4 linked regions of the Drosophila melanogaster genome follow. The protein of the gene in region 4 interacts with the protein of the main gene of each other region in a biochemical or structural test. Each region holds a gene or a part of one and is shown on either strand. Other genes may lie near its edges. The genes, in order: CG34159, BicC, tral and png.

What was found.
Region 1: of the proteins of png (region 4) and CG34159, one has a biochemical effect on the other in vitro, tested with the Drosophila melanogaster proteins (one study listed by BioGRID).
Region 2: of the proteins of png (region 4) and BicC, one has a biochemical effect on the other in vitro, tested with the Drosophila melanogaster proteins (one study listed by BioGRID).
Region 3: of the proteins of png (region 4) and tral, one has a biochemical effect on the other in vitro, tested with the Drosophila melanogaster proteins (one study listed by BioGRID).

The regions. Positions count from the first base shown.
Region 1 is NT_033779.5:10,201,976-10,206,313, forward strand, and holds CG34159 (uncharacterized protein), read right to left. Parts: upstream 2,343-4,338; 5' UTR 2,214-2,342; coding exon 2,197-2,213; intron 1,686-2,196; coding exon 1,409-1,685; intron 1,058-1,408; coding exon 908-1,057; 3' UTR 545-907; downstream 1-544. Other genes in the region: RpL7 (ribosomal protein L7), read left to right, coding at 1-83; Snx17 (sorting nexin 17), read right to left, coding at 3,394-4,338.
Region 2 is NT_033779.5:16,040,156-16,048,086, reverse strand, and holds the start of BicC (bicaudal C), read right to left. Parts: upstream 6,041-7,931; 5' UTR 5,560-6,040; intron 5,171-5,559; exon of another isoform or gene 5,013-5,170; 5' UTR 5,001-5,012; coding exon of another isoform or gene 4,866-5,000; 5' UTR 4,842-4,865; intron 4,264-4,841; 5' UTR 4,033-4,263; coding exon 3,726-4,032; intron 3,665-3,725; coding exon 3,615-3,664; intron 3,536-3,614; exon of another isoform or gene 3,300-3,535; coding exon 3,230-3,299; intron 3,167-3,229; coding exon 3,087-3,166; intron 3,022-3,086; coding exon 2,695-3,021; intron 2,247-2,694; coding exon 2,121-2,246; intron 2,061-2,120; coding exon 1,679-2,060; intron 1,486-1,678; coding exon 358-1,485; intron 130-357; coding exon 1-129. Other genes in the region: CG45084 (uncharacterized protein), read right to left, coding at 4,866-5,000. UniProt on the Drosophila melanogaster protein: RNA-binding protein that is involved in oogenesis. Required for correct targeting of the migrating anterior follicle cells and the establishment of anterior-posterior polarity in the oocyte. May act as translational repressor of oskar during oogenesis.
Region 3 is NT_037436.4:12,513,178-12,520,196, reverse strand, and holds tral (trailer hitch), read right to left. Parts: upstream 5,139-7,019; 5' UTR 4,746-5,138; coding exon 4,625-4,745; intron 3,639-4,624; coding exon 3,138-3,638; intron 2,782-3,137; coding exon 2,240-2,781; intron 2,174-2,239; coding exon 1,943-2,173; intron 1,760-1,942; coding exon 1,530-1,759; intron 1,468-1,529; coding exon 1,127-1,467; intron 1,054-1,126; coding exon 1,046-1,053; 3' UTR 502-1,045; downstream 1-501. Other genes in the region: sti (sticky), read left to right, coding at 5,530-5,815, 6,072-6,316, 6,373-6,735, 6,795-7,019.
Region 4 is NC_004354.4:1,355,974-1,359,618, reverse strand, and holds png (pan gu), read left to right. Parts: upstream 1-2,017; 5' UTR 2,018-2,085; coding exon 2,086-2,961; 3' UTR 2,962-3,131; downstream 3,132-3,645. Other genes in the region: CG11417 (uncharacterized protein), read right to left, coding at 3,209-3,645.

The sequences.
Region 1 (4,338 bases), on a different chromosome or scaffold from region 4:
AGAAGGCCAACCATTATGTCAACGGTGGTGACTTCGGCAACCGCGAGGACCAGATCAACCGTCTGCTGCGCAAGATGGTCTAAGGACTCCTTTTGATTTATGTGCTGAAACGACAACTGCAGCGGTTCGATGTAAACAGTGAGAGAAATAAAAGTTACTTTTATAAACCCACGAAATGCCGTTCAGTACAAAAACGCAGTGTTTTCGCTTCGATTCGCTGATTTAGTCATTGCGACTTAAATTGGAAAATATCAGTGAAGAGAGAGAGGACTTTTTTAAGGAACGTTTAGTTAAATGTACCAATAGTTTCATAACAACTTTAAATTTAGTAATTTTCTTTCATTTTAATGTTACATTTTTACTTTAAAGAATTCTGCGGTACTCCAGAAAGTCTTGCCCTTTGCTAAGATTAACCCCACGTTCAGTATAATTTTTTGGTTTGCTAATCGTTAATAATTCGATGTATAGCAATATTTAAATTTAAAATTTAGACAGTTTGCTTTTGTAGGCCCATTATTTGAAATGAAAACACAGGATTCTTGTTAATTTGTCTACGCTCTAGATTGTTTATTGTTGTTCTGGTCAAATTTTAAGCGCGCTTAGTGCACAACACTTAAATGCAGATAGCAAGCTAGATTCAGGGTGCCAGGGATAAAAATCGTTTGCCAATGTACACTTTATTGAATCATGGTTTGCCTTTCAGCTGGCAGTGGATTTAAATCGTTTTTTTTTTTTTTACACACACAATAGTCCAAAGCAGTTAGCAAACAAACATAAATTGTAAATTCCAATAGCATGGAAATTAGTCAATAATCGGGAGGAAGCTGGCACCCTTTTTAAATGTATAATTTAATTAATCGTTACCACATGGAGCACATGCCGTTGTCCGCTGTTCAGATTCCCGCTTCTACTGGTGTCCACCGGCCTGCGTGGTGGTCACATGGATGTTCTGCACCAGGCGCTGGCCCCAGTACTCCTCCAAATCGAATGGCTTAAAGTTCTTCAGCTGATTGTCGGATTCGTTGCAGTACAGCACAGGTGGACCCTGTTCGTAGACCTGGAGAGAGAGCAAAGCATGAAGAGCAACCGACAATTTGGACCGGGGACCGCGAATCTCAATGGTTTTCACCATCAAAATGCTCTTGAATATTTTAGAAAGATACCTAAAGGTAACTTGTTGGACTCGAGGTTGGCTATTTCTAAACTAGATCTTGATGCCTAAAATGCATAGAATGATCCTGCTGATCGAAATTGGAATTATCCACTATCGTTTCCTATTCTTCTAAAGAAAAGATTGGACTGCAAAGTCTGAATAACGAGCAAGTGTTCACGGTCCCTGATGTCCGCGTGCGAAAAGCGAAGCAGGGTGACAAAGGAGCGGCCTTTTGGATCCAAGTAAGCTGCTCACCTTGATCCATGCCCCCCGGATGTACCGGATGAGCTCATCGTGCTGCGAGATTGGCAGGCTCTGTGGTTGCTGTTGTTGCTGCTGCTGTCCGGCGGCGGAGGCGTAGAGCGGATTGCTGTTGTTATGGCCACCGACGGACGGAGAGTTTCCGGCACTGTGGTTATTGTATCCCGGCGAATTGGACGCCCCCGCCGCCGAATTGTTGTTATGGTGGTGATGGTAGCTGTGCGGCGCATTGTGCCCGCTGTTCTGCCGCCTAATGTTGTAGGGATAGCGTCTAAAGCGTAAATAATAATATATTTAGTTCTTATCATTAACTTTATGAAAGCGAAGCAAACTCCTTGATTGAAAGCTGCACTGTATTTGTTGTGCTGATATTAAAAAAAAAAAACTTTTTATGACCATGACCTACTTTAAGCATTATTTTAAATACAGTTTAGCAAATGAGTTTTCCAAATTAACCAATTTACACTTTAATATGAACTTCAAAAACTGTCTTTTGAAATTCCTGAATTATTAAGATCCTATGGCATCTATATATGCTGGTTAATAACCTGCTAATCAAAGTAATTAGGTTAGAAATGCTTCTTCCCCAATATTTTTAATATTTAATTCGCAGTTTTATATATAACAAAATAGCAGTAACGGTTAATCGTTTGGAAGATCGCACATACATACATACATGCGTATGTGTGTAAACACAGTCTTTTGTCGCTTGACGCACACAGGTTAAATTCGAGCGAAAGTAACGATTTTGGGTGCGTGCACTGTATATCCAAATACATTACCCATTATTGCGATCCATGTTGTCAGGTGCTTGAGTAAAATTAATCTCCCCAAGTTGTCTTGTTTATCGCCGAAAATTTATTTATATTCCGTATAAATCTTTTCTCTTCAGTCGCAGTGTGACCGCGGCTCAATGGTCCACCTATACCAAGAAATTATACCAAAATAATGGTTTATTGGCGCCCATCGGTTCGAATACCCCTAACTCCATTCAAACGGATTTAAGTTAATAAATTCAAAAATATTAATTAAATAACATTTAATGTACAAATAAATGTTATCTGGTTTAATTATATTCTCCAGAGAATGATAAGTATAGTTATAAAAGTAATTTATCAACAGATTTTTAAATTGTAGTCACTTAAATTCCATTAAATATCCGTTTCTCTTTATGATTTAAACGTTATTAATACGATATAATTATTTTATTCCGCAACAATAACTTTTAAATGCCACTTTTGTGTTCCCTTTCACTATGAACAATGATATTCAAAAATTATCTAGCTTGAATTCAATGACGTGCTAAAATGACATCATTTTATTACCATTAAAGACCCTAAAAAGATATTTGCTAAAAACGCAGTTCGAAACATTTTTGTCATTTATTTGGAAGTGAGTCAACAGATAAGGGAATGTACATTCATAGTTCATTGTTTAGTTTCTTTTTCTTTTTTGCTTGAAATATCCGGTTGGACTCGTTCCGGATGCCATAGTCATCAGTACATTTATTTTTGTAAAATGCATAACATATTTTCAACTATCTCTAAAGTAAAGAAAGTTCCACGTACATATATTACAATACAAGAAATGATAAAAGAGATAAAAGTATCCGTCGAGCATCCATTTACAGATCATTTACAATAGTTCAACACGTAGATCTAGATATAATGATGGTAAAACGTGCCATTCATCTTGAGCATTCAATTCTTTACAACACATTTTAGCGCCTTCATTCAATTAAACTTATGCTGCGCAAATCCCACTTAGTTCGGGCTTCGTAACACTTGCAAGTAGCAGATAGATTAAAGTCTTTTCTATTACACACACATATATATAAAATCTTCAACCTTAGTCGAATGAGTTAAGCTGCTCCTGCATCCGCAGACGCAATGGTTTTCTAAATAGTTTGGCGCGCCTTTTCCTTTTCGGAAAAAGGACTCGATTTTTGGCAACTCACGGCAAGCATTCCTTTAGCACTCTCATAGATCATCATCGCCGATGCCCTCGAACGCACCGTTGGCCACGCGTGCTCCATTGTCCACCACGTCGTTGCGGAAGAATACGGCTCCGAAGGTGCGCGATGTAGTCAACCTGGGTTTGGATCTGGGCGCCGAATCTTCGGACAGAAACCTAACTGGCGGCGTTGTGGGCGCAGTGGATGTAGAACACGTGGAGGATGCCCATGTCGACGTGGAACAGGTTGAGCTGGGTGTTGATGAGGACGACGTGACTGCATTCTGTTCCTGCTCCTCATCGCTATTCTGATCCTTTCCACTGCCAGCGCCTCGCTGTAACAACTCGTCGACCATGGCCTGCAGGCACACGGACATCAGCATGGCCTGATCACTGTTAATAGTGATCCAGCGCAGCGTCTGCTTGCCAATCAGATATTCAAAGGCCAGCTGGAGATGCGTGGGTTCCAGCCGCGATTCCAGCGTAATGTGTGTAACGCTGACGCGCCACGAGCGCATCCTAGTCACCCGGAACTTCGTCTCGTAGATCTTAACGCCACGTGCCGTGCGCAGAGCCAACTCCTTGTTGCCAATGCTAATTAACGCCATTGTGTCCGGCTCCGGATAGTCCACCTGCGCCTCATCGAACTGCAGGCAGCCGTAGGAGGGCAGCTGACGCACCAGGTCCATGTACTCACGCGCTCTTCCCTGCATCTGCAGGCTGTTCAGTTGGCGACCCTCGCCGGGCGTACAGATGACCACCCACTCGCGGTTCACGTCCGCAACGGTCTGGTTGTAGAGCAAATTCAATGCCACTTTGCTTCCAGTTAGCTTGGCATCTCTACTGGAGTCCCAGTAGCAGGTACGCAGCAGCAGTTCGCAGGGCTGTACATGCAGACGCGTTATATACGGCGACTCGAAATCCATGAGGCGTCGCACCAGGTGCAGTTCGCCGGATTTCCTTTGACGTCG
Region 2 (7,931 bases), on a different chromosome or scaffold from region 4:
CCAGCAGCGTGTGAATGGCCGTCAGCAGCTTCTTGCGAGCTCCAAACGCCGCGATACCCAGCTCCATCAGGTTTTCCTCGGTCAGGGTGGTGAACACCTCCAGGTCGATTTCGTTTAGAACGAATATTTCTGAAAGGAGAAATAAAAACTGTAGTTTTCCCAGGTTGTAAATATAAAATAGTTTGATTTTAAATGCTATATGGATGTTGAACTTTATGTAACTTTATCTATGACTGTGAAAAAACGTTTGCGTTAAATAAAACACTCTCCAGTTCAAGCCAGACATATATGATAGCTTTATAAAAGACTTCTAGTACACAGTTGGTAAAAACGGACATGATCGGCGGAGCTACTCACTGATGTAGTGCTCCAGACCCAAACTGGTGAGCAGAGTCTGGATGTCCTTGTGCTTGGCTAGCTGCATCCGTCGGTTGACTGGAGTGGCGTCCAGGAGTCCGGTGGTGGCACTCAGTCCGTAAGGGGAACCCAGTCCTGGTGGCAGCCGCCACCCACTAGATGCTCCTCCACCAGCAGCCCCATTTTCCCCGTTCTCCAGCGGGGCAGGGGCGGGCGAGGTGCTGCTCAAGCCCATTCCCATCCAAGCGGTCGTGGGTGTTCGCAGCTCCCCTGCCACCGGGGTGCGCTCCATGGCTTTGTAGCCCAGGGCCCGTTTCATGTCGAAGTCAAAGGCACGGTGGCCGGAGTGCTTGTTTCCTCCAAGGTCATAGTGCAAACTCCGATAGCTCTCGGCACTGCCGGGCAGGAGGTGGGCTCCTCCGGAGTTACCTCCTCCACCGTTGGAATTACTCAGCCCCAGCAGCACTCCATCGCTAAGGCGTCGTCCCAGACGCGCCCCACCACCACCTCCGCCGCCAACGCCACCACCCTCACTGCCGTAAGTGGAATCTGGCGAATAATGCGCCCGATTTTGGCTTCCCGCGGTGGAGGATGAAGTGGACGACACGGTGCCCGGCAATTGGGCATACGGCGGATACGACTGCTCCAGGGAGGTGGTGCTGCTGCTAAAGCTCTGGTAACCACTGGTATTCTGACTGCAGCTGTTCCGTGGCGAAACAGTCGGCGGTTTGAGAGGCGGCGCCACCGCTCCAGGAACCTGCAGATAGTTGCCATTGTTGCTCTGCCCACCAGCCACCATGGAACGATTCTGAGCCTGTTGGAAGCTGTTGTGCAACTGCATATATTTTTGGGTGGGCGCACACACCCCAGTGGGCGTGGCCAAGCCATTGGCGTTCAACAACAGGTGATTGTTGTTGGCATAGGGCGTCAGTTGGCCAGCCAAGGAGGGCGGCAGCAGCGATGGAGTCTTCGGGCTGTCCACATACCCAGCCAGCAGAGCAGTTAACTGGGTGCGGTAGGCGAGATTAAGGTCTTTGTCCTTTGGCATGAAGTAGTAGTCGGGGATCTCGGGCTTCACGAATGGCGTGGCCAGGCGCAGGATCTCCTGGCGGGCCTCGTAGATTTTGTCTAAGGAGGGTGACAACAACGGATTAATACGGAAATTTAATTCAGCACTTGCTAAATATCTTAAATTGTATAATATATCTAAAAAGTAAGGAAAATATGGGATAAAAATCAAACAATAATGGAAAGTGCAATCGTATATTAATGCAGAATCAACGAAAATCATACACTTTACACATTGCTTTAGAGATCTTACCTATAAACTTCTCCACTCCCTTGACCACAATGGCCAGGGTGCTCTGCCGCTGTTTCTGGCGCAACGTGATGTAGACGCCGTACTTGGTGTTGAGGCTCATTATTTCGGATGCATCGTTGTGGTTGTCCGGAAAGTCAAAAATCAATGCTACGGGCAAATTGCCAAGCAATTGTTGTCGCGCCAAGTAGACGTCGTCGATGCGTCCGCTGATCGTGACCTGGGACTTCTTCAGGGGCTTCACGTTCATGTCGCTCAGATCGGGGAATATGATCTTGGTCTGGGTTCGCTCCATAATGCTCAGCAGATTCACGTTGTTCTTGCCCTTGACGATTTCGTGATGCTGCGGCGAGATCTCCATCTGGACATTCACCAGGATTTGGCTCTAAAAAGGAAAAAGGATTCGCTGATGAGCCTTATTTTGAGTTATCCTTCTCGAACCTACCGCAATACTCTCACAGGCGAAGTTGATCAGCAGCTGCGTGGCATCTCGGACCTGCGCCGATTCCTTCTCGGATCCCTTGACCAAAACCAGCGAGGTATGCAATTTTGGACGCGTGGAGAATATGACCTGAAAGGAGGAAAAATCTTTAAAATATATTCAATAATAATTAAGAGCAACGAAAAAACTGTTTACAAAAATCCTTGGTTGTAATTTAAGGTTGCCAAATTCGAAAATAACGTTTAAGTAACTTTATTACTTTAAATGCGTTCTAAATCACTTAAAAATATATAATAATAACACAACTGCAAAATTAGCCTAATGTAACATCAGTTGATAAAATTATAATGGAGCAATATATAATCACAACTCTCAAGGGTTGGGAAAAAAAAATTTGACATTTTCTATACCCCCTCTTAAATGTATGTATGAATGTATATTACAAAATCTTACCTAAATTAGTTAAACTAATCAAGCCATTATAGTCAAATGCAAATAATATTTGGTAACATGCCATGATTAATTTATAATTAATTTATAATCTTACACTTAGTTGACTCCGACATCTGGAACTCACCTGAACATTGAACTTGGTCTCGATCATCTTGATGTAGGGAGTCTCGTGGTCGGGCTGCGGCTTGTTGGGTCCCATTACGGGCATCTCGAAGGAGATGAGCAGCGGTGTGGAGAGCCGAACGAGAGCCCGGGCTCGCTCCACGCCCTCTAGGCTGCCGCACAGCGACACCTGGTTGGATTTCTCCGTGGGATTGGAGCGATTCGAGTCGGGGAAGTGGATATGGGTATGCGTGTCGTCCATTATGCGCTTGATGTTGTTGCCACCTCGTCCGATGATGTACGAGTGATCCGTGTAGCTGACGTCCATTTTCATGATCACTCGAGTGCCCTGTTCGGAGAAAAATGGGTAACAATTAAAACAGATAAGTTTGTATTATGCTTTGGCTCACTCACCCTGGAGTCAAGACTGCTAAGGATGCGCTCCTTTGCCCGCTGAACCTGATCCACCTTTCCCACAATTCGCACATGGGGATCTTTAAATTATGGGATTTATTTGAAAAATACTCTTGAACATTGAAAATATTTCAATATCCTACCCTTCTTGCTCTTGGCACCAATTTTGAGTCTGCAAGGCCAGCTCACATAAGTATCCGTAGTGTTCATGATCTAGTAAAAGAATATGTTTTGGATATATGGCGAATTCTTTTATATCAAGTCAAAAGAGTCGGTCCTAACAGTATCTTAAAACAAATTGGGTTATACACTGAAATTTTATAGATGCAAAGTCAGATTGCCAAACAAAGACATGAATCAATTAACTTAAAAATTTTGCTCAAAAACTAAATAACTTAATATACTATTGAATAGGAAACATATTATTATATGTTCAATATTTATAAGGCATGGCATTCTGTGTCTCAAAATGAGACAAAAGAAAGTGTGAAGCTAATAGGTGCCCAAAACTTAAAAATATGTACTCACGTCATGGAAAAAATATTCAGCTCCATTCATTCCCTCAATGGAGCTCTCCGCTATCAGAAAAAAGGCAATGTATAATAAGGAATCTATTATTTTTATATATAAAGGCATTACCTTTTATTAACTGTTCCAATTTCTGTCGATCCACCTTGAAACGTTCCGTGTGGAGATCGTCTGGGTTTTGAACGCCCAACTTCATGGCGATGGCGCGTATGTCACTCCAATCGCTATCCACGGAGGAGATCTCGCTCTGCGTCTCGCTGGGGGCTCCACTGCCCACCGAGGTGGTCGATGGAAGGGCGTGAAGACTGGACAGGGATCCAATGGATCCAGCTTCCACCTCCAAGCCCACCATTGGCGGTTTGGCAACATCTGCGGCCGACGGATACATCAGTTTATTGAAAGAGGCACAGGACAACATTGTGGAATTCGGATGATGATGATGATCACTGGATCAGTGGATCGGTCAGTGGATCGAGAAATTCGTCAGAGGTCAACAGGTGTGGGTACCAAAAAGTCGTTTAGTTTTAAAAACCAAGCAAAACGTCCGTCTCAGTTAAGGATTCTGGAAGCCGGTCCGTTGTTTGGTCAGCTTTGTTAGATGATTGCTGCTACTTAATGAAGTAAAGTGTATCTGAATTGATGGGATGAGCTGGTGATGAAAAATGAAAGGTCCGAAATGATGTAACAAGAAAATTGATGTTCGTAATAAGAAGAGAGTGGTTAGAAAGCGAGTCATAGGTAATTTAAAGTGAATATTGAAACACCATATAAAAATTAATTATTTTTATTTTGATAGTCGGTACCATAATTTAAGCAATGCACTTTCCAAAAAAAAAAACGATTTTACCTTTAAATTTAGTTCTCTTTTAATTTTTTGCGGTAAATAGTATTTAACTATCAACTGGAATAAGTACTTTTCACTAACATTAAAAAACTTTCTGTCTTAATTTGAAAATCTGTCTTATAAATTTGTGAGAATAATGCCGCGAAAAGGTGAAATAAAAATTCACTAATTAATATTATTATGGATAACAACATTATTATTGGTTCGCCGCCTGTCGAAAATTCCAAACTTTCTTGTGTGTTCTTTCACATAACCTCTCAAAATGGAGTGCTGCTGCCATGAGGTTCGTACTTTCCCCTTTCTCTCGAGATCCCGAAAACCGTAATTTCACCCGTGTCTTCACTTTCACTTCCTTGTGCCCAAAAACCAATGGCGTAACTTACCGCTGGGAGATCGCTCGGTGATCTCTACTTGAGATTAAATAGGCCCTGGAGGTCCAGACAGATGGCGTGCGAGAGGTCCTGGACGAATTGGATGGCCTCGACGAGGCAGACGTTCATAACAAAATTACGTATTTGTTGAAATCTCTCGACGAAAGGCATTTAAGGTGTGATCTGCGCAATAGAGATCTATATATCAGTATATAGCTGTGTGATTGCGACGGTCTGAGGGGCTTTGTCAGAGTATTGGAAAAATGCAAGTTGGGAAAAATCTCTCTGATTTCTGGGGGACCAGCACTTCTTCTAAGTACGGCTTGAAGGCAACTGAACGCGGCTCTCGATTTCGTCGATCGATTTTGCCCGCTGCTCGACGGCATTTACTTCTAACTGTTGAGCGGATGAATTCCGCAAATCGCTGGCAGGAGAAAATCTGGCGAATATTGTTGTTGCTGGGTCAATGAACCGCTCCCGGAATAAGAGATTCGATTCCATATGTCGAGAGCGAAAAACAAAACAAAGTCGCAGGGAGAGGTGGTGTTCCAGAACTCCAACATAGCTACAACAATTTGCAGAGCAAACGCTTAACAGCGGTTAGAATGTTGCAATGTTAAGTTTGAAATGTTGCCAACCGTTTTCATTCATTTTGGCGCCAGAAAAAACGGTAGAGAAATACGGCACAAAGAGAAACCGACTTTATTCCCGCCAAAAACACGCCACTTACCGTAATGTCAGAAATTCGGATCGTAGCACATACACATAGATATCGCAGGTTAATTTACTTAAACACAATCAATTGTAAAATCTTTTCGACAAATAACACGCTCTTTTCACGTAAAAAAATTGTATATCCGCTTGCTAATTAATTTTGGGCGCAATTAATTTTCCGTCAATTGGTCAAATTAAGGTTCGAATGGGAATTCGGCTGGCAGTCGGTGTATTTTTTCAATGTAACCAAAAAAAATAACCACTATCGAAGTGCGAGTAACAGAAAAACACCACGTGTGTGAAAAACACAAAGGAAAATGCAATGGAGTCTCATGAAAAGCGAAACTGAATTGTTGTCAGAAAATCGTGCACTGCGCGTTAGTTAGTTATATTTGAATATTTTTTAATATTTTATAGCTCTTTTGAATTAATATATTATTAATGGGTTGTGCGCGCCGTGCAGTTGTCGTCATTAAAGCGCGCTGACTATCAAACTAAGCTCGGCATGTGGGTCCCAGTCCCAACTGACCTTCAGATCCAAAAGCTCTGTGTTCTGTGGGGAGTGAAGCCAGTGCACGAACAACCTTAAAAAGCTGCCAGCCAACTGGATAACGGATATTCAGCAATAGCTTTATAACGGGAAACGGAGCTTTTCAAGCTTCTGAAACTCCCCAACCTGCACTTTACCAAAGTATTTATATACAGTGGGTTTTAAAAGTACGCTCACCCTTGTACAACCGGAAATCAAACTTTAAATAAACCAAACTTAAATTACGTAATTAAATGATGACATGTACGAGTAAAAGACGTCAGCAATAGTTATTGAATAGGGGTTACTTTATTTCCTTGCTGCTATTTTACATCACTATTTTGTTTTCTTCAATCTTATTATTACATTTATTCTGGCTTTACACATTTCGGGTTATTTATTGGGGATATGAATATATTATGTGCTATGCATTTGACCGCGTTTTTGATTCTCTTTATAGATCTAAGACTTATCGTTTTTCCTAGCAGCTGGAAACATTCACTGTTTTTTTATCCTACTTTCATATTTCTTGGTTAATACTTTTAATATTTATTCAGTAACATCAAAATGTTTGTCCCATTTTTATGTACATAAAACTAGCTTTTTACATTCTTATACATATGGTTATAGTTTATTATATATATTGGCCATAATTGAAACCATACTGAAATTAAAATTAAAATCCCCTGTCAATGTTTTAATGTAATGGGCATAAATTAGGGAAGACAACTTTCACAACACGATTTGATTACAAAAATCTGGCGGCATGCAGTTTATTATTATATAATTATCTATTTGTATTACTTGTTTTTGCATGTACACCAATTAATTTATATTTCATAAGTTTTATTATTACGTTTTATCATTTTATTTACACTTTAAATATATGTACTGAATTTATAAATTATTCAACATTTATTTTTTATTATTGTTATTTTTTTTTAATATACATTTTCATTTGTTTTTGGGCTACGATTACCCATTGCATACATTGAATTGTGTTTAAGGTAAAGGAACTATTTACCGCTGGATTTTTGTTGGCCAAAAATGTTCAAATAATTCTTTTGCTTTCATCGAGTTTTAATATTGCCGAAACAAGACTTGAAAATAAAGATTCTTTTTCGTTTTAATTTGCTCTATGTATTCGTTGTTTTCTACAAATAAACGCTTGCTATAATAATTAATTTTGCTTTTCATTTCCACAACCGTAAAAAGTTCCTTTCTGTACAGTGGATGTTACAAAATATTAATTTTGTGCTTGGTTTTAAGCTTTTATTTACACATTGACATAATGTCTTCTTCATTCTGAAAGGAGAAAACAAACAAAATAAAGTTATAGTCGATTCTCTCGACTATAAGATACCCGTTACTCAGATGAATACCTTATAATGTTACAAACGATTCCACTAATCTAGAACACTCTTTTACTCTAAAAGTAACGGGTATTAGTATTGACTTAAATTATATTCGGTTGTTTACAATTTTGAAGCTGTCAAAACCCCACTTTAAAATGCACTACGGTACCCGAAAGCTAAGCTCAAGTGCAGTCTAAAGTTCAGCTTGCTGTACACTGTGCACAATTCCTATAACTTTTTGATTTTTTATTTGAATATATTTAACGCTTGATATATAACATAAGAGTTTGAAGTACATAGTATTTATTCTAAGTACATTTTGATTTTCAGTGACTGAGCACACGCATTTTCTCACCCTGTACGTGCCCAGTGCCCAGGCAACTGTGCATTTTTGGTTTGACTTTCCGCATCTCTTAATGTTCTCTTCACTGAGAGCCATTTGTCGTGGCTTATTGTGATCTTTTATTTTTTACAGTAAAGATCTGTTCGAAAGTATCGGGAATA
Region 3 (7,019 bases), on a different chromosome or scaffold from region 4:
GAGAAAATAAACTGTACGAAAACCGAAAATTTGGGCTTTTCTTTTTGGACAAATTTGCTAATGATTGGTTGTTTTCTTTTTTTTTTTTTGTTGGGGTTTTTTCGTTTAACATTTTCATTCGGGAGACTTCATTCATTCATTGCAGCTGAGCTGGATTGACTTTTTACAATTGTGCTTTTGATAGAAGCGCGTAGCTGCCGATTTTATTTTCTTTTTTTCATGTTTAAAATGCTCTTAAATAATAGTTGTTTTAAATGCTAGTAAAACGGGTCGAGCGTTTGTCGATGTTTTACGCCCACAAGAAATACAATATTACAATCGATTTGTTACTCTTTCATTCAAATAAAAACGTATTAAGTTAGCTTTTATTTTAGATTTGGGAATTCCATGGATTTAATTGGTTTACTCCATTAATTTCATTATTGTTGTTATCGGCTCCTCCGCCAAATCTCCTTGCTCCTCTCCTTGCTAAATGGTTGCTTTCGTTTTGTTTTGTTTTTTGTAGCTTTTCATACTTATGCTTAACTATGTTCTTACTAAATATATGTATGTATGCTGGCGTGCCATTATCTGCTCCTTCTTATCAATGCCGTGCTTTTTGCTCAGCGCAAGGCGTTGGAACCAGCCATTTACACAAAGCCTAACACATGGCCGGTTCGGTTCGGTTCGGTTCGGTTCACATTCACATTCACATTCGCGCTAGTCGCTAATCATTAATCGAATCGTAGAGCGCTTATCATCGCCAAGCACACGGTGGTGGTGGGCGGGCAGCAGCGGAGTGCGCCCCAGGACGTCGTGAGAATTGTAACACTAATTTAATTATACAAATATATTATGCCGCTGGATCCATAACTCGAAATTCCTGATAATAAGAGCCTGTGTGTCGTCGATCGTTCGGGTCACTTGATTGGTTTGCTTCGAATAATTAGCTTTGCAATGAATAGGATATTTACTTTACGCTCTTCTCAATTCGCATCTATCAATTTGTGGTTTGTTGGTTGTGGTTGGTGTATATTTAAAGTGGCTTTCCACTGGCCGGGCGGCACTATTGTGCTGCAAAAGTAAACAGACACACATGTAAACAAACATGTTGCAAATGAAGTGCTTAGATGTAATTGCTACTCACAAACTGCCGCCACCTGTTGCGTCTGCTCTGGCAAGAGGGACGTCGACTTTGTCGTCGCGGTTGTGGCATTTGGTGCACTGGAGTCCGTGGCATTGGATCCGTGGCCAGCAGCATTGTTGGCCGCCTTCAGCGCAGCAGCCGTGTTGCCATTGGTGATGTTTGGCATTCCGTTTCCGCCACGACCGCCGCCGTTGTTGCGATTGTTGCTCCTGTTTCGGAAGTTTCCGCCGCCGCCACCCATGCGATAATTGTTCCTGTTGTAGCCTGGCGCTCCTCCATATCCCGAGTTAATGCCGCCGTTGCCATTATTGTTGTAGTATTGGTTGCGTCCGCGGTAACTGCTTGGAATACATTCAGTTGATGAGCCACACTGCATTTGCTTGATTGCTTCGATTGGACTTACCTGCCACGTCGTGTGGAGGACACTCCGAAGGTCTCCGTGTTCAACTTGCGCTCCTGGCGCCAATCGTTCTTCTTGTTCTTGCTGCGATCCTGGGCAGCCTCGCACGAGATGTTGTCGAAGAACGATTTGGTCTTGTCGTAGCACACAGCAACATCATCCTCCTCAGGCTCGTGCTCTCCAGCGCCGGTCTCGTTGCCAGAATCATCCTTCTTGTCGGTCTCGCCATTCAGCTGCAAGCAGATGATGCAAATAGTGAGTAACTCTTAAAACGATCGTATAGAAAATGTTACTTAAACTGAACTTAAACAAGCAATAAATAAAGAAGAAGATTTACCTTATTTGTTAATAAACTGCTCTTATTCATTTAGAACTAATTTGTAGTGTATAAAAATAAAAAGTGTATGTGGACTTACTGTGTGAACGCCTTCAACCTTCTCACCCACCTGCTCATTGGTTGCAGTTGCAGTGGCGGCCGTTGCATTGGTGGCTGGCTTGGGTGCACCATCCTCGGCCACCTTGAGCTTGGCCAGTTGGGAGCGCAGTTCCTCGAACTTGTTGTTTGCCTGCTCGAAATCGAAGTCGCCCTCGAACTTGATCTTGTTCCGCGGCTTGTTCTGATTATTGGCCGACTGCGGACGATAGCCCTGCAAAATGTGAAAGCCAGGGTTTAATAAACCATCTATAGCAGTGTGAGTCACCAGCAGGTGTACCTGATTGGGTCGCATGGGGCCGCGGGATCCCATGCCGCGGTTGCGCATGTTCATCATGTTGTTCGAGTTCTGGTTGCCGCGATGCATGTTCCAGGCCGGGTTGTTTCCACCTCCGTTTCCACCGCCGCCGCCGCTGCCGCCGTTTCCTCCTCGCTGCTGCTGTTGCATTCCGTTGCCGCCGCCGCGATTGCGCTGATTATTATTATTGTTGTTGTAGTTGTTGCTATAGTTGTTGTCCATTTGACGTCCGGAGTCCCGACGATCCCGCTGCTGGTTATAGAAGTCCGTTCCACTGCCGCCGCCTCGTTGCTGCTGCTGCTGCATATTGTTGTGGCTGGGTCCGCCACGTTGCTGATGCTGCTGATTCTGTTGCTGCTGGTGGTTCTGGCGCTTATGTCCTGCATCGCGTCCGTTGCCACCCTGGCCAGCGTTCTGTTGCTGGTGCAGCTGCTGCTGCTGAGTCAGCTCCGCCGTGGGACTCACAATCAGGCTAATGGGCGTCGTCGATCGCGAGGCACCGGCCAGCATGTCTAGAACGGAAACTGTACACATATAGAGGACGCAACGAGGACGAAAGTAAAGGAGAGAGTAATGCGTGTGGGCACCAAAAACATTAGTCCAAACAAATACTTGTGTCAAATACTTTGTATCAAAAGGTGACATTAACTATTTTAAAGGGCTGAGTAAAAGAGCGTAATTTTTAAGCATTTAAATCGACATGCTCGCTTATCGGATAAAGCCACAAAATGAACCATATCTTAAACTATTCCCGGAATTTGCGTTTTTGAAAATAGCAATCGCTTTTTAGCAGGAAACGAATTTTGATTTAAGATCACAAATGAGAAGTTCTACTTGTGTGCAATGTAATTTTAGTAATGTGTGGTCTACACCAACTCACTTGGCTGTTTCTGCTGCTGGGGCTTCGGTTGCTGCTGATTGCCACCGATGTGCATGAAGGGTCCGCTGCCCGGAGCACCGGAACCGGGTGCAAGCGATCCGCCCGCATTGCCCACCATGTTGGCCAGATTGGGACCGCCGAGGTTGCCGAACGGATTGCCATTGCCGTAGCCGGGTCCGCCGCCGCCAGGAGCTCCTGCTCCACCAGCACCACCACTGCCTCCACCGCTTGGCATTTGGGGCGGTTGCTGCGACGGCACCTGTTGCTGCTGCGGCGGACCGCTCATCCCGCTGGGCATGGGGAAGTGCTGCGGCATCTGGGGCGGTCCGTTCTGGAGCTGCGCCTGCATGATCGCCGGGTCATTGTGGTGCGGCAGCGTGTGGTTGTTGACAACGCGAATGTCCTTGATGTCCGAGCCACGGAATAGGATGTAGTCGTAGATCTGCGATTGCGGCGCTATCTGGAACTGGGTGTCCCGATCTTCTGTACCGAAGGATCGCACTGAAAAAGAAAAGAGGGTTAAAATGAATTGAGTTATAATATTAAATCGTATAAAGAGTACAATAGTGAACATTTTTTCCGTAAAGTTTTCTTATCCCAGCCGCCATTTTTATTCCATTGCTTTAAGAAAGATCTTTCACAAAACTAAACTTTTAAATTTTTAAATTTTTCCATTGCAAATAAGCTACCTTTTTTGCTTAACCGGTATTCTAAGTCGGTTTTTAAAAGTGCTCCATCTAATAAGTGGAACTTTCCGAGCCCACATCTTTCAAGTTTATATTCCAATTGTTTTAAAATGAATGCACCGCATTATATAATGCAATTGTTCAAAAGACGAATTACTTGGATTGCGGCAAACTTGTAAACCCATTAAGGTTAGGCCGCGCTTCCAATTTAACCTCAACTGGGGAACGCATGTTTTGCCGGTATTTCTCCGCTCTCCGTTCCTCCTTTTCGACTTCCAGGGCACTGACATCCGTAACGGGAGCCCTTGGATCCCGTTATCTGGCGCCAAATCGAAATTGTATTTGCAAATAAACAAATTGCATTGGGGCCTTGCTGGTGCTCGTTACTTTGTGCGCGGGTGTATGTGTGCCAAGTAAATTGCAAAAGCAACACTGTACAACAACAACCAAAGACAAAAACAGGCCAAAGCCAACATGACAAACAAAAAGCATAAGTGGGAGAGCGAGAGACGGCTGTCGAAATGGGTAATGGAGAGAGCGGTGGCGGCAATTGCACTCACCGTCTCCACGAGTATGAAATTACTGTAAAAACTAACAAAAAGAAACGAACCAAAAGGAAAGAAAGAGTAGAGCCACCAACACAAGAGAAATGGACAGAATCCATTTTCTTTTGCGATGAACCGTTTTTTTACACGATTTTTTTTTTCTTTTTTTTTGGCGCAGATTACGGCACCCACATATGTATATCCCGTATATGTACATATATGGGCGACGTGGGCGATTTTCGTATTAAATACTTACCACTCGAGAGCGCAATGGTGCACTCCTGCGGATCCACCGTGTACAGGCGGCCCTCGTATCGAATGTCCGCCTTGGAAATGAGGCTGATTTTGGAGCCCAACTCCGGTAATCCCCCGCTCATCTTGAACTACTTCGATGCTTCACTGCGCACTCACGCCGAAAATACAAACTATTATTAAATGTTTCTGCCAACAGGCACACGAATTTCTCTGTCAAAAGCAAACAATTATAGCGAGCGCGACGACAACGATTTCTCGACGGTTTCAGTCTCTGCTCTTTTACTTTTTTTCCGTCTTTTTTTCACACGCAATTGCGTTCCAGTTCCAGGGCGAATTTGCGGCCAATCGCCTTCTAGCCGCGTTTGCTTTATCAAGCTGTGTTTTTGCACAAGTGCGACAAGCGCTTTTCCAATGTCTGTGATGCTGCACACACGGCTCCAAATGTGAAAATTGCAATTTTCGATGCACAAATCTTTGCTCCGTCCGTCTGCGAAAACCTACCCGTCGAAAATGAACGATGCATACGAGCGAGAGCCTCGACGGTGTTGGAAAGCGCGGTTGTATAGCAGCGGCGGCGGCAGCGAAATAATAATAATAACTGTTTATGTGCAAAACTGTGCAAAATATAAAAGGGGACGCTTCAAAAGGTTGCCAAAAGTAAATAAGACTATTTCATTATTTATCCGTTCTCTGTTTGCATTAAAATTCAAATTTTATCCTCTTTCACAGGGCAGCCCTACTTGCAACCCTAAATACAACTCTGGAAAGTGAGCACGCATCCCTGGCTCTTCGGCTTCCCTCGGCGCATTTTTTTCAAAGCGAAACGGCAGAAAAATGCTCTGGCATTTTACGGATTTCTAATTGTATTATTTATGTGAGAAAATTGCAAATAAAAGTGAGTCCATCATGCCACCCAAGATGGAGCCGATTAGCGTGCGCACCGCGCGTCTGAACAACCTGATTCTGGGCAAAGGAGCTGGCGTCTGTGCGAAGCCCGCTGGAAGCGCCTCCGGATCAGGTATTCCCGCCTCCACCAGGAGAAGCATTGTACCCGTGAGCACCACTAGCGCCGCCGTGGCCGAGGCCATCTGCCGCGAGGGACTCCTGGACGCCTTCTGTCTGCTGTACAACGAGTGCGACAAGGATACGCTGAAGAAGCGCGATCGCAACATCGCCGAGTTTGTCAACAAATGTGAGTCAACTGCATTGGTCAGCAGGGTTTTCGGATGGAGTATCTACCATTCTATAGAAATGGAACTCAGAAGCCACATTTTTACTTCCTCGGGTCAGAGAATCTACTTTTGCTAATCATATTCCATTATTAAAGCCCACAAAATTATTGGGAGTAGAATCTCTTATAGATTTACCTGTATGTTCCGGTTTCCCTCCTTGAAAATAGAGCTCATGCCTAGTTACCCATTATATTACTATCTAATTTCCTACTCCAGTTCGTCCCATCATAGAGGAGACCCGCAAACTCAGGGTCAACGCAGATGACTTCCTCATCAAGACGCTTATTGGCCAAGGATACTTTGGCAACGTTCACCTGGTGGTGGAGCGGCAAACCAACGACATATACGCCATGAAGAAGATCAAAAAGTCGGTGGTGACGACGTCACAAGTCAAGGAGGAGCGCGATATCATGTCCATTCGCAACTCTGAATGGCTAATCAATCTGCAGTATGCCTTTCAGGTTTGTTATTTCCACATTTTCGCATATTTCAGTACTTGAATTAACTTATCACTTAGGATAACGACAATCTGTACCTGGTCATGGAGTACATGCCCGGCGGAGACCTTCTCAGCTTGATGTCACGCCACGGCCCTTTCGATGAGGACTTGGCTCGTTTCTATCTGGCCGAGCTCACAGTGGCCCTGCACACATTGCACGAGATGGGCTATGTGCATCGGGATATAAAGCCTGAAAATATACTGATTGATCGTTTTGGCCATATTAAACTGGCTGATTTCGGTAATGCCGCTGCCTTGGATCGCGATGGCCATGTGCTGAGTTTGTCGCCGGTGGGAACACCGGATTACATAGCTCCAGAGCTGCTGCAAACCATATCCACCTACAAGCTGTCCAAGTCGATGCACGATGTGAGTAGAATTGTACGATCGCAGAGTTTGGTTTGGAAAGTTCATAGCTAAAACAAGAACTCATTTTGTAGGTCAGCTGCGATTATTGGTCCATGGGCATTATAGGATATGAGTTAATATGCGAGACAACACCTTTTCACGAGGACAATGTACACGAGACATACTCCAAGATTCTCTCCCATTGCGAGGAGAGTCACCTTAAAGAGCTCATCAGCTTTCCCGCCGACTTGAAGGTGTCTGTTAACTATAGAAATCTTATTGAGTCACTGGTCACAAATCCTTCGAAGCGATTGTCC
Region 4 (3,645 bases):
GTCTGTCGTTCGCTGAGGGCAAAAGTTTCGAGTTAGTTGAAGGTGAGGGTGCTCGATCACCGATTTGCGGTGAGACGAAAGAAAAGTATGCATTGTTGCGTTGTAAAGAGAGCCGGCGCTCGTCTTGTTCACATTGTCGCTGAGAACGTATGTCGTTTTGATTCATTGTTCTAAGTCCACATATAACAATTACCAGAACAATATGGAATAATTATTTATTTTAGTAAATAATTACTATAGTCAATAATTGTTAGTTGTGCAAACTGCACTTTACACTTTGTGTTTAACTTTCACTATACTGTTGTAGTTTTTAGAACTTGCTATTCGTAGCTTGAAAGAAACACGTCTCCACCCGAAGACTGTGGAATGCCGAACGCGCGCTTTAATGCTATCTAAAATTGACTACGGACTGCCAATCTTCGGTTGGTGTGCTAAATCACACTTAAAAAAGCTACAAGTCCCATATCACGGAGCGGTCCGTCGCGCCATTCACGCATTTCCCACATCTCCAGTAGCGTGCACATTGGCAGAATCGGGTCTCCCGAGTATCCAATCACGCGTAGAAGAAACTACATTGATGCTTATCCCGAAGCTGTACACCACGTCAAACTGCCTGCTAACCAAAGACTTCGGAGCCATATTTAAACAAAAACGGAAATTCAAGTGCATATCCACCCTAAGACGTTGCGCCAACTACATCAAGCTACTTGACCTTCCCCTGCCTAAGCCCAGGAGGCCCTTCAAATCGCCAGCACTTTGGGGTTCCAAACAGCCTAACATAAACCTTCAAATATACAATGCTGCCAAAAAGGATACAGGTCGCCTAGAATACCAAAAACGTTTTATGAGCGCACAAGAAGATCTTGGTGTGAAAAACTGGATCTACACCGATGGTTCTAAAGTCACCGGCGCAACTACTTTTGCGGTTGTTGACTCTAACCGTAAAATAATTGCAGGAGGTAGGCTTCCGTCCTACAACTCCATATTTACAGCCGAAGCTTTCGCCATTCTCAAAGCATGCCAATTCGCTTCCAAAAACGCTGGAAAATCTGTTATCTGCACAGACAGCCTCTCCTCTCTTTCCGCTATACGCAACTGGAACCATAATGACCCCACAACACAAGAAGTTAGGCACATTCTAAGTTCTCACCCAAAAAAAATCACCTTACTCTGGGTTCCCAGTCATCAAGGTATTCATGGGAATGAACTTGCTGACAAAGCCGCCCAAGAGATGAGGCTTACACCATCAATCCTGTTCACTCCGTTTAACTCCAAGGACCTAAAAAGTCGAATCAAGTTATACCTCAAAGAAAAGAAACTCTCCGAATGGGCACTCTTCATGCACAGGTACCAGTCTATCAATCCGAATTGCATCATGTTCAAGCCACCAACGAACGTACATAAACGGGAATGCGCGACCTTTATCCGTCTACGCATCGGGCACACCCAATCCACACATCAACACTTACTGATGAGATCGGCGCGACCAACATGCCAACTATGCGGGGACGAGCTCACCGTTGACCATATTCTCAACGCCTGCAGTCAATTGCACTCAATTAGATCTCACTTATTTGGTACACATAGTCTCTCGAATTGTTTAAGTATCCCATCCTGTGAAAATATCTCAAAAATTTACAAATTTGTCCAAAAAGCTAAGTTTATTATATAAAGCAATTAACCCATAAGTCTCGAGTCGAAGGCCCCCGTAGCTAGTACTCATTAAATTTAATTAGGTTTAGTATTGTATACTATATTTAATTTTGTTAAATAAAATAAATAAAAATTTAGGATAGTCATACTTTTCACATGGATGGACTTTTTGAATGGGGTTAGTTCACGATGCGTTAGTTTGATTAATTAACCAGACTCTAATAACTTACTTTCATTGAGCACTGTTGCTGCTGGCCAGATGAGCAATTTTCATATGGGGTTTCCGAAGTTCCGAGTTTTCGGCTTTTTCCGATGGAACTGTGCATCTCTTGTTTCGAAGCAATCGATAGATGGCGCGCTTGCGCTTTTGCTGGCTAACTGTACATCAAGGCGGGATCGCGGATTACGCTTTCGGAACTCTGCGCACTCGAGATGGAACTGGGTGACTCTAAGCTGCGTGCGGTAAGGGTGCTGGGCCAGGGCACCTTTGGCCGGGTCTTCCTCTGCCACCAAAACGAGGTGCGCGGACAGCCGGAGAGGAAGGTGTGCGTGAAGCGGATCATCGTCCGGAATCCGAAGACAGAGTTGGGATTGATCAAGGAGGAGGTGTACATCATCTCGCAGCTGCGCCACCCGCACATCGTTGAGTTCCTGCGCTCCTTTAGCCACGCGGGCACTGTGAACATCGTGATGGAGTACGTGCCCAACGGCACCTTGAGGGATGTCATCCAGCAGCTGCCGTCAGGCACCGGGGGAGTCAATCAGGAGCGGCTGATGGGCTACTTCCGCGACATGGTAGTGGGACTCGAGTACCTGCACATCCGCTGCGTCATCCACCGAGACATCAAGCCCGAGAACATGCTCCTCGACGCCAACGACCGCGTCAAGATCGCCGACTTTGGGATCGCGAACGTTCATGCGCCCAGCACTCAACTGCAGGCGGGCATGGGCACGCCCATGTACATGGCCCCGGAGGCGATGTCCAGCCAGGGCAAGGTGGATTTCAAGTCGGACGTGTGGTCACTGGGGCTAGTCCTCTACGAGCTGTGCCTCGGACGCAGCCCCTTCGCCGCGTTTCTCGACAAGAACGCCACCCCTGCCCTACTGCACACCGTAGTCCAGGCGCTGGTCCGCCCCCGGCTCGACTGCCAGCTCATCCGGCGTCTCTACGATCCCGTGTGGGCGCAAGTTTGCGAGCTGATGGTCGTTTACGAGCAGGAGCGCCGCATCTGCCTACCAGACATCTTCCACCTCGACGCCGGCATGACTGTGACCCTCTACAAGCATTACTTCAGCTACAGCTACTAACGGAAGCCAATGGTCAGCTCACCAGCACGAGGAGACCTCAACAAATATTTCATTGTACTTAAGAACTAGGCTAGCTTAAGCGATAAATTAAGGTGTGTGCTGTGCTTTGTGTGCGCCTGTGCTTTTGCCAGGGGATCTGTCAGCTATAAACAGTATATAATGTATATTCCAAAACAGTCTCGCTCAATGTCATTAACGTAGTCTTTAATTTACATTTGTTCACCTATTGTACAGTAACATTAATCCTCTAAAGCTTCTGGCCCTGCTGCTGCAGCTGGATCTTACGCTTCAGACTCTTTACCAGGGCGTTCTGCTCCAGCTGCTGCTTACTCCTCTTGGGGGCTACCTGCTCATCCCCATCCGCATCGCCGTTTGCAGCGCCGCCCTCCCCCTGCTCCTTTCTGCGCTTTAACTTCTCGCCGATGATCTGCTGCATGCCCTTGGTGGGCTTGTAATGGGAGTGGGTGGGATCGATGTTGTACTCGTGCGACTTGTAAACGGCACTGAAGCGATTATCATTCAGGTTTACCTGGAAGTCGTCGTCCAGCTTCTCCGCATTCTGCGGCTGATTTTTCGATTTCTTTAACTTCTGACGACGCTTTCGCTTTGAACCGCTCGCTTCTTGCTCCTCCTTCTTGAGGATTTTGGTCAGACTGAAGTGTTGCTTCTCGTCGCGCCCGTCGC